2 linked regions of the Drosophila melanogaster genome follow. The protein of the gene in region 2 interacts with the protein of the main gene of each other region in a pairwise test. Each region holds a gene or a part of one and is shown on either strand. Other genes may lie near its edges.

What was found. Proteins that work in one complex are often made in the same cells at the same time.
Region 1: the proteins of CG3223 (region 2) and CG31848 interact in a two-hybrid assay, tested with the Drosophila melanogaster proteins (one large-scale study listed by BioGRID).

What each region holds. Positions count from the first base shown.
Region 1 is NT_033779.5:13,262,828-13,269,539, forward strand, and holds CG31848 (uncharacterized protein), read right to left. Parts: upstream 3,050-6,712; 5' UTR 2,958-3,049; coding exon 2,955-2,957; intron 2,890-2,954; coding exon 2,254-2,889; 3' UTR 2,169-2,253; downstream 1-2,168. Other genes in the region: CG44085 (uncharacterized protein), read left to right, coding at 4,904-5,145.
Region 2 is NT_033777.3:8,006,438-8,013,671, reverse strand, and holds CG3223 (uncharacterized protein), read right to left. Parts: upstream 4,273-7,234; 5' UTR 4,185-4,272; coding exon 4,043-4,184; intron 3,970-4,042; coding exon 3,553-3,969; intron 3,495-3,552; coding exon 2,806-3,494; 3' UTR 2,654-2,805; downstream 1-2,653. Other genes in the region: CG10435 (uncharacterized protein), read left to right, coding at 603-1,541, 1,955-2,377, 2,438-2,563; CG11052 (uncharacterized protein), read left to right, coding at 4,621-4,825, 4,880-4,896, 5,011-5,120, 5,172-5,289; CG2767 (uncharacterized protein), read left to right, coding at 5,705-5,776, 6,160-6,340, 6,708-6,835, 6,896-7,234.

The DNA.
Region 1 (6,712 bases), on a different chromosome or scaffold from region 2:
CGCCACGTTTAACATATAAATGAAATATATATCTTGTAATATCTTGACTATAGGTACTTACAAAATTTACGTGTGAACTTGGGACAAATATTGACCATGTACATGGTTTTAAAGTGTTAATGTTTATTTTAGCTTAAATTATTATTCGCATTTTAATGCCCGAGACTGTGATGCATTGCCGAACATGACTTTGATTTTTGTCAACGACAATTATTTTCACACTTCTTTGTCGGTTTATTTTTCACTTTTGTTGATTGCGTAAATCAGGTGTGAGTTTATTTATTTTATAAATTTTTGCATTTGTAAAATACGTAAACAGATTTCTTGTCCCAAGTTCAAGTTGGTCGCAGTTGACCGTGAAATTTGTATGCGAAATAGGGTACTAAACTCAAAGGAAGATTCCCAAGTGGATAAGGCACAAGATATAAAGCCACACCCAGATGACAGTTCAACAGCATTGGGAATTGATTATTGGACAGCGATGTGAATGTACCTAGATCGTTCCCATGATAGTTGATTCAATGATTCACTTTGCCTTTATGACTTCTCTTCAGCAATACACTCTGAATTAAAATTAATTAAGGGAAAGTTCACAATTAATTCGCAGTCAAACGTAAAGAACAATTTCTGCAATTTAATTATTTATTGAATTATGCTTACGTTTAAATTTACATTTTGTTTTGGGGAATTTTATAAGAACTATTGCTCAGATTTTTCCATGATTTTTACTATTTATTTGTTTTCCCGGAAAATGGCTTTGCTGTGCGTGATTTATTCCTTCACACTTTCTCCACAAACAAATATCGAATTTTCATGGCGCGGCTATATTTAATTTTTTTTTTTCATTTTTTACAAATCAATAACATGGCAATTTTTCAACCAGCACCAAATTCGAGCTGCAGGAAAAAAGTTAAAAATCGAAAAAAAAGGCGCTGGCGGGATTTGGTTGCCTATCTGACCAAAAACGACCGACGGTGAATGACGACATGTGGTCATGGTAGGAAAAATACACAGAAATTCGCGTTTGTATGCGCATATATTCCGCAAGGCAACTGAATGAGAAATATTACCGCCATCGATTGTGCAACGGGCTTTTGGGGCAGAGTCTGCGTTTTCGCTTTCACCTGGGTTCGCTGACGTTGACCCAGGCCAGATTAATATAAATAATTGCGAGTACCGACAAGAGCCAGACCCACTCCCAATCCCAATCCCAATCCCAATCGCAAACCCAACGGCTCCCTGTCTGATGTGCTCATGTCATGCAATCAACGCAGCTAAATGACAAATGCAAAACGAGTTGCACACTCAAGTGGCCGTAGAAAGTGATGAATGGCTTCCCTGATTGCGTTTGTTTTTCTTTGATTTTTGTTTTTTTTTTTCGTACGTAAAACTTTTTTCGCCGCCGTTCAGATAATTTTTCAAGGTCAGATACAACAAAAAAAAAGCCAGAAATATTATAGTTTTATACACGCTTGTGTCTTCTGGGCTGTGGGTGTTGTTGGTGAAACGCTAATTTTTATTGGATTATCCATCTTTGTTTTTCCTTTTACTTTTCCGTGAGAGATCGTTTCGTATTTAATGGGGTATAAATTTTCTTTCGTTTTATGTTTGCAAAATTAAGTTTCTTATAAATAGCATCGCATCTGTGTGTTTGTAGGTGTTTATGTTTCTTGCGTTTCTTTAATTTCTATATAGTTTCGGATAATTTATGAGATTAACCGCTAGACCTAAAGGCGTTGATCTAAGCATTTGCTTATGTTTTATACTTTGCTAAAAAATACATTTATTTTAATGTTTAGCTATATTGTTTATAAAATCGTTTTAAAAAGCTATTGCATTTAAGAACCTACTGCAACTAAGTGGGTCACAAAATGAAACGAAAGTGAAAAGAGAAAATCAAACGAAATTGTTTTTTTCAAAAAGAGCACAGCAACATTTAACACATAATTAAAAATCCCATTCTTCACGGTCAGAAGAAATGACTCTAGTATTTTCCGCAATCAGAGGCCTGTGGCTAACTAATTAGATGGCCCCCATGATTGATGTCTGCACAAAACCAAATATCTCTGTCTGACCCAGTTTCTGGCCAGCCAAAGCAGAAATATTGAATGAATAGGGAAACCAATTTCACTGACAGTTCTTTGAGGAACGAATATTATTGACAGCCACTCGAATTTCAAGTGTGCGTCAATTGGCGGCGCAGCACTTAAGTGTTTATTGAACCAAATGAGTCACTCGTCCGGACACCTTTTGCTAGGCGTCCACTTGGAAGGGATCGGGCTCGCCGTGTAGCACGATCTTGACGAAGATCCTACGCTGCTCTCCGGAGAGGCACAGCTCCCGAATGTCGGTGGCCGTGTACAGGAGGTAGTCCGTGTTGCAATACAGCCGATTCTGACTATCCATCAATGGACTGTCCAGGGAATTGCGCAGGCAACGCCATCCGCGCTTCTCGTGGGCATGGAATCCGTCGAGGAGTGTTACATTGGCACTCACCAGACTGGAGGGCACAGCACTCACCAGGTATAAGATGTAGGCCTGCTCGGTGTTCAGAATAGGAGGGCTCACATAGAGCATCAGGATAATGGGCAGATGGTGGACAATCTGCAGATCCGAAGTAACAGCACAACTAAGACCCGGCTTTGGGGCTCCCTCATAGGCGATGACTCCAATCGAATGATTTCGACCCGGTGTCAATTTATCAATATCCACTTCGTACTGCTTGGGCACGTCCTCAGCAATCTCGATCATCGAGTCCTGCGGACTGTGCCGCATCATCAGATGGGCCAGCATCTCGAGTGGCGACATCTGCGCCTGGCAATTGGTCACTGGACACATAGCCGGAATTCCATAGAGGGCCTCCAGATTCAAATTGGCGAATCGTTGGTACTTGGGGTTGAGATTTTATGGAACGGTCAGTTCACGCGGCTTTTCTTGCATTTGTTTTAACTTACCATAGTTTCTGAACTGGATAAATGGTATTTCTCCAAGTATTCGTTAAGAAATTAAACTGAGAAATCTGGTAATGTCTATGAAATGTCAGTGACTTGAAAGGAAACGCTTGGCTAATCATATTTCCTAAAAAGTGACTTTAGCTTTTAAGGGAATTTATGGAGTTGATTATATTATCCAATACTAAAAATACATTCATTATATACTTATTTACAGTCAACTGCTCGATATTCCAAAATGTCGATATGGTTCAGTTAAATTATTAAAGCTACACAAAAATACTTTTCTTGCTCATGGTTAAAACTATATAATGGGATCAAATGAAAGTAGATGACCAGAACTATCCACAATAATCGTTTGCCGATGTTGTCTCTTGACTTTCCCCTTCTTTGTGGCATTTTAAGTTTTTTACTTCGTACAAATTGTGGATGTCGAGCGACAAAAGAAAATGATTTTAGCCCAGTCATTCCGCGTTTTAAATTCCTTAACGCTTTCTTGCCAATTATTATTTAACTGTGCACAAAGCAGTCGCAAAAAATGAAAATAAGACTGAAAGAAAAAAACAGCAGAAAAGATAACATCTTATTTGTCTGTCAAGGCTAGTGGGCCACATTTCCGCAGATGATTGTTCAAATGAGTTAATTAGAGCAAGCCGAGTGCGCAGATTCGATAAAGAAATCCCCCGAACTAAAGATAATGCCGAAGTGGGAGATACCCGTTCTTTCGATTTGGCTTAATCGTGAAAAGCGACAGAAGTAATAAGCAGACGACATGACAGTAGAGTGAAAACAATTAGTAGCACGATAAGAGATGCAGATACAGCCGAAAGATACCAGATACAGATAAACGAAAGCGTCGCAAAGTCTTTTTGGCGTTTAGCTGGAAATTTGTCGCCATCATCGAACTGCATTGACAGACAAATAAATTGCTATACAGTCCGCGTGCCAGTCGGCCGTTTGTCAAGCGATCGATTTTCCTTTTGCGGCACCACCAATACCATCAAAGCGACTGGAAATGTATCTGCAACAAGTTGCCGAACAAGCCAACTCAGATGTGCCGTCCAACCTCCGGCGAACCGAACCCGACTTCAATGCGTCTCGAGAGTCCGCTGCGATCAGTCGCCCAGTGCGCTCCTCAGATACAGATAAAAAAAACGAACCTACGAGATACTTTTTGTGCGCAGCGCGTGTGTTTTCAATTTAATAATTAGTGAGTGAGTGAGTGATTAAAGTCGGATACTAACAGAAAGGCCGGGCAAATGCCATCTTAATTCGGAGCAACTTTAGCTCATGCCTAAAAATAATTCAACTGCGTAAGCGTATCTCTGCGAGACGGAAAACGGCTGGTCCACATAGTAGTGATTCTGTTATAGGTTCCCCCAAAAATTTCAGTGATTCTTCTCCGCCGATGTGAGTCAGCAGACCATTTGTCGGCTGCCCCTTGTCAAAAAAGGTTAAATTCAATTCCCACAATCGATGGTTGAGTCATTCGACCACCTAGGCTCCAATACAGCACCTTTGTTTGCATGTCCCCTGATCGGCCAAATGTAAATCGATTGTACAACCCATTGTACTTGGCTGCTTGAATTGTAACTCTTTGTTCTGCGCACATTTACTGATAAGCGCACTTGCAACCTGGCAAATGGGTTGCAAATATTTTCATTTCAATTGTTTAACTTCTAAAGCGATTCAAAACAGATCTGGACAGCAAAGAAAGCAGAAGGAACTACGGCGTAGCCCTAATAGTTTTATATATGATGTGGAAAAAATTTGCTTTGGGCTTTCTTTAAACCCACTTGCTTGTACCCATTCGCAGATAGAGGTCCGCTTTAAAGATAGTCGACCCACTTTCGTGCTATGCAAGTGTAAAAGCAAAATTCAGATAAAATAGTGTACAACAAAAATAAATTAGTATAAAAGTATTAAAACAAGTAAACAAGAGTCCGCGAGCAATGGCCACCTCAACGCTGCAATCTCCGTCGCCGTCGCCATCAAACGCCTCCGTGTCATCCAAGAATCCGCAGCTGAAGCGCGTAGTGTACTCCAAATATCGGGAACTACTTGGTTCTTATAATGATAAGGCCAATGCCATCATCGACACTCTGCCCGCATATATGGTTCGTCAGGATCGCGGATTTCAGTTGTCGGAGCTGCCCGTGAACGGGGATGCCAATCGCAACGGCCTGGAATTGTCGTAAGTCCGCTACGAGTATATCTATATATTTGTATTTATATAAATATATAGCTAAATTTTCTAAAGCTAAAATGCCAGAGCAAGAGCAATTTCCAAGTAAATATTTATCGCTAGATTAGCTCAACTGCGGAATGTGGGCGGCTGGAGGGAGCACCCTGTACGAACGATCTTCCGATCTCCGACTTCAGAGCCAAGCTATTTATAGCCAAGACGGGCGGACAATGACTATCATTATGTCATGTTGCATGTGGCAGCTTTCAAGTTCTTACTTCTTCTTCTACTTCTGCTGGCTGCCCTTGATCTTGAAATATGCGCGGCCAGCTGCAACTGCAGATTCTTCTAGGCAACTAGTTTGCTTTTACTAGAGGGTAGTAGGGGATATGATGGAACTGGACTAAAAAGAATCAAAAATATAAATTCAATAAATAAATTGAATAAATTAAACGTTATATTAAATGTATGATCACATAATGCACAATATATACATAATAATATTAATCCAAATAACACAATAAGCTCTCGTATAAACATCTCATAAACAAAATATGGCTATATAAGGGATACCAACTAGTTCATCAATCCGGTTTCCAGTGCTTTCCAGAAGACATCACCCGTATCTTGTGGATCCACCCGGTTGCCAGTTAGTTGCAAATGCCTTTAGATACATTTCTGCACGCTCATTTGCATGCGAAAAGGCAAAATAAAAGTCAAGCACACAACAACAAATTAGAAAAGTGAAAATGCGAATTGCACAGATGTTTTTCTATCATTTAAATTTGAAATTGTGATTGCTTGTGTTATTATTGCATGTTTTTAACTCACGCATGAACAGCTGCGACTATTTTACATGTATTTTTGGCAAATCATAAAGCCCAGTCATTAGTCGGTAAAATGGATTTACATTTATTTTTAGAAATGTATGTTTACTTAAGGCTAAGTGCATGTGCAACGCATATGCATATGATTCACAAAGAATATGTGCATGCTTGTGCCAGTAAATTAGTCATGTTGCATTATGATTATAGGCGAACTTTGTATGCCAGTTTATTGGTTATTTCTTCCCGGTTCCTTGAAACTTTTTCCTGGTGCTCTGACATTTTAATTGCCAAATCTGTCAGTGGCTAGCAAACAGTTGGTGGTCTTGTCTTGTGGTCAATTGCTTCTTATCCGCAGCCCCAAGTACCAAGTACTGACGCCATGTCCCCGCCAATTGACGTCATCAGGGGACATCTGTGATTTCAGCGCGTGTATCTTTTAGTTTTTAACGATTCTTTTGTTTTTCGAAAATTTTGGCAACGCATTTTTTAGTTCACTGTGCGTGACGATCATTGGAATTGAGAACAATGAATGGGTATTTACATTGCTTTCGTTGGTTCAGGAAATGTTTAGTGCATTAAGCTGACATTTTTCCAGGCTTGTCACGGTGTTTAATAACTTTTATAGCCCAGCCCAATATGGCAGCGGTCGAATGTTTCATACAGAAAAAACAGTTAACAAAACGGTTGTGTAAGTTGCATTTCCTATCCGGCCATAAAGCATCGATCGACCGATCGAGTCAATAAACGGG
Region 2 (7,234 bases):
AAGACCTATTAAAGAATAGATAGAGATAAAATAGATATCATAACTGCCATTTTTCGTCCTTATTTATTCCCAGAAACTTTGGTTTTATCTAGTGGAAAGAACATGATTTCAATAAACTCAGTTGTAAAAGCGCGGGATTATTTTAAACAAAAGTTTGGTCAAAAATAGTTTTTTAGAATAAAGATCTTAAAACTATCCGCCATGCACTAAATAATGATACCCTTGGTAACAAAAAATATTTAGTATGTCAAAATGTTTTGTAATTTTAATTTTTTTATGTTGTATAACGTGATCTGTAGAAACTATTAATGTATTCCGATTTTTGTTAAGCCTTTCATACGCCCTCAAATTGGCGAAAATTTGGGTAGATTTAATATCAGCTGTTGTCAAACTCGCAACCAAGCCTGAGTACACCTAATTAGGTGAGCATCTCAAGGAAAAACGATATTCAACACTAGTCGAAATTGGCGAATCAGCAGTGACCGATGACAATACCAATCGCCTATCGCTGCTGCTCGAGAAACAACAAAAGAGAACAGAGAAAAAAAAACGCGTAGTAGCAACTTAATTAACAAAATTCGTGGTGAATGCGCTAGCATAACATGGAAGATGTCCCGGTCAAGATAGTCGAGCGCTACAAACCACCGCCTGCCGTGTACCACCTGCCGCAGGCGACCCTCAATCGCCTGTCGCAATTCCGAGAAGGTTTCTACACGGATCATCCGGATTACCAGTATGACTGTCAGCTGGAGAGGGCCGTGCTGAGTCAGGCGCAACGATGGCGCCACCTGCGTCGCCAGCAGCGCGAGGAGCGAGCCAGTCGCCAGGAGCGTCGCAAGGAGGAACGCCAACGGGCGCTGGAGGCGAGACAGAAGGAGATGCTTGGAGCAGTTGATTATCCTAGTGCGGACGACTTGTCATCGGATGAGGACGAGAAGGAGCGAAAGAAGAACGAGCCCGAGCAGAGGGACGAGGAACAGCAACAGCAGCCACCACCTCCAATCACCGCTGAGTCACGCGACTCTTCCCACGAACCAAAGTCAATAAGTGTGTGTAATTTTCACAATATCTTGCAGCCCACCATTCTGAGCACCACTCCAGTGGTCAGTCCGCAGACGCTGCACAAGCGTAACAGCTCCCTAAACTACGCAGACTTTGAGTACAATATGAACTCCACACCTTTCGACAATATCGAGCTGAAGACCATCAACGATCTAGACATACTAGCTCAGGTTCTGCACCAGACACAGCTGGAGAAGCGCATAGATCAACAGCAGCAGGATCAGCAGCAGCAGGAGCCGCCGCATGAGGATCATTCCAAGGAGGAGCAATCTGGCAATGAAGTGCCAGCTCCGGTGGAGCTAGCAATGACTACGCTGGCGGAGACCAAAGCGACGCTCGACAGCGTCAATTTCCATGTTCACTGTGATGATAATGCGGACAGGGGCGAGCCAAGCCACATTCCAACCACGGCTCAATACCTAACGCCCATGTACAGCGCTTCCGCCCAGCAGCCGTTGCATAAACCGGAACACTTTCAGGTGGGACACTTTTAACTAGTTAAAGAGCCTTAATAATATGTTAACTTGATTCTTTTGAATGTCACACTATCCTTGTATTCTCAAAATCCAATCCTCATTACTCATTAAATTGTAATAAAAGAGGAAATTGTTCATTCACTCACAGTATACCATTTAATCGGGATGATTTCTGAGCATTTGCAGGTAGATTACCTAAAAATAAATAACTCATCACAAGTCGAGGGTGGGGCTATTGCTCAAACTAATTAGTACCACAATTGAGGGTGTAATATATTTTGACTGAGCTTGAGTACGATCTTAGCATGGTCTTATAAACCAAGTATTAGTCCGATACCCAATATTTTATTTCAATCGAAAATAAGTTTTTTTCAGACGCTCCGATTTAAAATATGGGCTAATTATTATTTTCGCAGGTGTACCACATGCAGGGCTACAGTCACCAGCCCTTCTACCCTCCGCAGCAGCATTCTTTCCAACAGTTTAGCAACTACCAAGTCAATGGATTCGGGACTCAAAACCTTTTGAAGGCTCCTCCAGCGCCTTCCTCCGTGCATGCGCTCAGCCAGTCGGAGGACGAGGTAGCCACGAAGTCAAGGAGTGTGCCTGACATCCTGCGGGAGCTGAAGACGGAGCTGCAGCAGGCGGAGAAGCGTCGTACCCGCCTGCACAGTCACAACGCGGAGCAGCAGCCAACGGTGGAGTTGGCAGTGGACAGAAACTCCTTTAGGGAGCTGGCTGGTCCGGCACAGAAGTTGGCCCAACGTATCAGTACTATGGGTTTCCCTCTGGAACGGGTGGCAAAGGTGGTTAGTCTATGCGGTATCGACGATAAGAAGGTAAGTCAGTTTCGAAAACTTTTGCAAAATGCATTATTCCGATCTGGGACGTCTTTTCAGATTATCGAACACCTTATTCCACTGGGAGAACTTCTGGACCTCGGTTTTGACGAATCGAAAATCTCGGCGGCGCTACTCAAGTTCAACAATAATAAGGACAAGGCGCTGGACTATCTAATCAACTAGTATAATTTAGTGGAAACCTTTTGTACGGCCGGCTTTTACCCCCATGCCCAAACTCCGCAATCCCACCCCAATTAGCTTACAAAGATGACTCCTCTAAACGTATATTTAATTATTAAAAGTTATTAAGAGATATTCCTTGCTTAAGTTGGGAGTTTAATGCTTCAGAATCCTCAGCAGCAGAATAAATATAAGTCCGTAAAGTAAGCACATTATGTTGGCTTTTTAGTCAATTCCGATCCTTATTAATTCATGCTCAGCATAAGCAGATTAATAGCGTGTTCCACATTCCCATCGGAAAGTTCTAGATAACTAACGTTCTGAGTGTGATTAATGAAGCCCATGGCGGCCATGGTACGCAGTTGTTCGGTGAACCGATGGCGACGGTAGCGGCGTGGCAGCACATCACTGTCGTCTCCACCATCGTCCTCGTCATCTACATCATCGGCTGGTGCTGTGGCGGCTTGCTCTGGTACTGGTCCTTCTCCGGACTCCACCTCCATGTTCTCCACAGGCGCCGGTTGATCCTGCGACAGGGACTGAAAAGCGCGGGCCAGCTCGTTGCGGAGCAACTCTGAGGATATGGATCCGCTGCTGATGGCTCCACTGCTGCTTCCTGCGCCTGTTCCCGCTGCTCCTCCAACGCCTGCTAATGGCGCCGAGGTGGTTCTAGGTCTTTCATCACCCTGCACGGCCTCGTCCGCGTTTCTCTGCGCAATATTCGACAGTGAATTAAACGGGGTCACGTTAGCCAATGCGTTAGCCAGTTGCTGGCGGCTAATCTGACGGATGTTGGCCATCTCATCACGCCGATTGGCGGCCGCGGCAGCTGCCACGGCTGTGCTGCTGCTTCCACCACTGCTGCTGCTGCCTGCACCCAGAGAGTTTTCCTCCTCTGACGAAGTAGTAGACTCCGAAGCAGCTTGCTCCTGCACTAAAAAGGAAGAAACGGGTAAAATATACAAATCAAGAATAGATACGGCATTAGTTACACTGCGTGGCCGAGCTATTTCTGGCTAGCTCCTTGCGAATGGTGTCCACTATGAATGGAGCGGCCTCGCAGATGAGGGGATAATCTTTAACGAGATTTTGGACCACTTCCGGCTCGTGCAGCATGTTGAACAGTACGGAGTCGCGAATAAGGGCCTGGGCGCCCAGATTTCGCCTAAATTCCGGATACTCAGCGAGTATCTTCTGCAGAATGTTGAACCGCGAGGTAACGCTGATTTGCAGGTGCGAGGTCAACGAAAACAGCTCTTGAATATGCTTCGTGTTGATTTCGGCGGCGGCTGGCGGCACATACGGCGAGTAACGTTTAATCTTCTGAAAGCAGTGGATCACGGCGTTGGGCTGCAGCGTTCGGTTGAGGGTGTCTGCGTCCTCCAGCACGCGTCCGTGGTGGATGATCTCTGCAAGTGCGCAGCAAATGACTTGACACAATAGAGACAATGGACAGCGATTTGAATCCCGAGGGTCACTCACCCAACTCGCTGGCGTCGAATTGCAAGTGCATCTCTTTGGTCACCACCGCCTTTAGGTAGGCCACATCCCGCGTCAGATCGATGTTGTGTAGGGGATGCACATCGCTCAGCTTGTTCTTCAGAAGCGCGTACACGGTATGCATAGTGCGTTGATGTAGAATCTGCGTAATATTTGTAATTCACTATTTTGTCTGGGTGATTTTGTTTTGTTCAAAGACAGTTCGGAACTGGTTCCAACGAACCGCCTTGAACACAGGGTGACCCTTACATGCCCCGATAGCCCGAACCAGACTGATCGGGTCGACCGACGATTTAAAAAAGGCTAAAAAAGCTAGATCTAAAAATACCGCTCTAGGATTGCTGTCGAATTTTCAACATAAGTGTTCATTTGTTGACAATAAGAAAACGTAACTTTTGCTATTGTTTTTGTTTTACCTTGTTCAAGTCATTTCATTTAAAATGTACTGTTTTTAAAGCCATTGAAATTCAAGGTGACCCAAAATAAAACCCTCAATCCCTATCGACCTATCGATTTTTGACAGTTTCCGCTCCAAATATGTTAAATATACGAGTTGTAAAATGACCTCCCAAGAAACGCAGACTGAGGGTGAACGTAGGAGGGTAACTCTTCCATCTTCGACACCAGATAAAGGTACACCATCCAAAAAAGGCAGCGAGGAGCCCAACCGAATTTCGAACACAGAGTTCCAAAAAAGAGTAACATCGGACAGAAGCGATGAGCCGGTCTTCAGCTGCCAATTCGAAGTGTTCGGCATTGTGCAAGGTAGGGTATTCACAAATCGTATAGTCGCAATAATTAGTTATCTGGCACCAACAGGCGTTTCATTTCGAATGGTAAGAGCTTGCTGGGAAATGGGATCTTCAAAACCCCTTTGAGCTATGGATTTTCTGCTACCTCTTATTGTATATGTGAAATCTCTTTACTGTAATCCAATTACCATGTTTTAGTACACCTTGCGAAGAGCTCAAAAGCTGGGAGTCCGGGGTTGGTGCAAAAACACCAACGAGAATACGGTGAAGGGCGAAATTCAAGCACACCGACATTCCTTTGAGTCCATGTGAGTGATTTTTTCCATTCAACGTTTAATTATCAAGCCGTTCTTTTACAGGCGCCTCTGGCTAAAGCACACCGGCAGCCCCACCAGTCGAATTGACAAATGCATTTTCAGTGAGACTACAGAACTTTCAGAATTCACGTTCACTAACTTCTCCATAGTGGTGGATTAGTTGTTCTCTAAAAGCTTAAAATCATTTAGAAACGGAATTGAATTTTTCTTACACACACTTATACAGTATTTGGATATGAGCTACAAATTTTTCTATTGTTATAATATTAAATCTAACTAAAATGCAAATAAATTAGTCCGATATTTTATAGTAAACGAGCCTTAAACCATTTATGGTAAGTACATTTATTTTTAAATTCGATTGTTTTGTTAAACAAATATCGACTAGTAAGACCGCGCTTTGCAAAAGGCAGAATCTCATTGGATTGGGTGAGATAAGTGGGCCGGTGACTGGGTCGTAGCTTCTTGTTTAATTTCAATTCAATCCTCGAAGCAACAGGTTGTGCCGCATCTTTTCCATTTAATCTGTTACTCAAGTCTGTTTTAGTGTACAAGTTATCAAAAATCAATACAAAATGGTCAACACCAAGTTCTTAACGTTCAACAATGGAGAGAAGATGCCCGTGATTGGCATCGGCACCTGGCAGGTATTTATAATCACGTTAATTCTGTAATTTCATAGATTGCTTGTAAGTGGTTAAATGGATAGTAGATATTCGAATCTTAATACTATTGTTTCAACTTATTAATGACCTCAACAAATCGCTGACACGTCATTTAAATCTCTTGAAATTCCGATTCCGATGCAATCAACAATTTGGTTGGTGCTGGGGGACTTTAGACCGGTTTTCAAAAACAAACAATAAACCACCATTCATATCCACTGGTGGACTGGACTTTCTCTGGTCACGGGAGAATAAATATCGTTGTAAATCGAGTTTGAAGATTTTCGGGTAGTGTAGATTATGCAAATCCTATAATCAATATATATACAATACCACTAAACCGCACTTTCATCACCACAATGCAGGCATCTGATGAGGAAATCGAAACCGCCATCGATGCGGCTTTGGAAGCTGGGTATCGCCACATAGATACGGCGCCAGTCTACGGCAATGAGAAGGCCATCGGAAGAGTCCTAAAGCGTTGGCTGGACGCCGGCAAGGTCAAGCGGGAGGAGCTGTTCATTGTGACCAAGGTGCCACCCGTTTGTAAGTAGCATTTAGTAGTTGGATGGTATTTCAAAATGCCATATAAACATTTATAAATAGTTCCTATGTTCTATGCCCACAGAATCTTAAGATCCATAGAAACCAAAGCATTTTACACCAGCTACCAATATTCTTTTTGATATCTAGTTGATAAAATAAGACTAGGAACGTGATTTTAAAACACCAACATAGACTCCTTCAGTGTTCATAATTTCAATTTAAAAACATTTTTATTATCACCACATGACTCTTTGATATGATAAATGAACCTGATGTGAATGACTATAAATATAGCTGTGAGAGTTTTCACTATTACGAGTCCAGTTATTTCAAAAATAATATAATAATAATATAATCCTTGTTTTAGCCAACCGCCCCCACGAAGTTGAGCCAACCATCAAAAAGTCACTGGAAGATCTGCAACTGGACTATGTGGACTTATATTTGGTGCACACTCCCTTCACAATTAATATCAACGAGGACGGAAGCTTTAAGGTAGTTGTGCTACGGAATCTAATCCCAACTCCTATACACATCTCGAGCATTAACTTTCAGCTCGACAAGGAGGGCCTAATGGAGGTCGACGTTACCACGAACCACGCAGCCATCTGGGTTGCTATGGAGGCCCTGGTGGAGAAGGGTCTCACCAAGTCCATTGGGGTATCCAACTTCAGCAAGGATCAGGTGGCCCGTCTGTTGAAGAACTGCAAGATCCGGCCGGCCAACAACCAGATTGAGCACCACGTTTATTTGCAGCAGCGAGATCTGGTCGACTTCTGCAAGTCCGAAAACATTACCGTAACTGCCTACTCCCCGTTGGGATCCAAGGGAATCGCCAAGTTTAATGCTGGAGCGGGCATCGTGAGAGATCTGCCGGACCTGATGGACATCCCT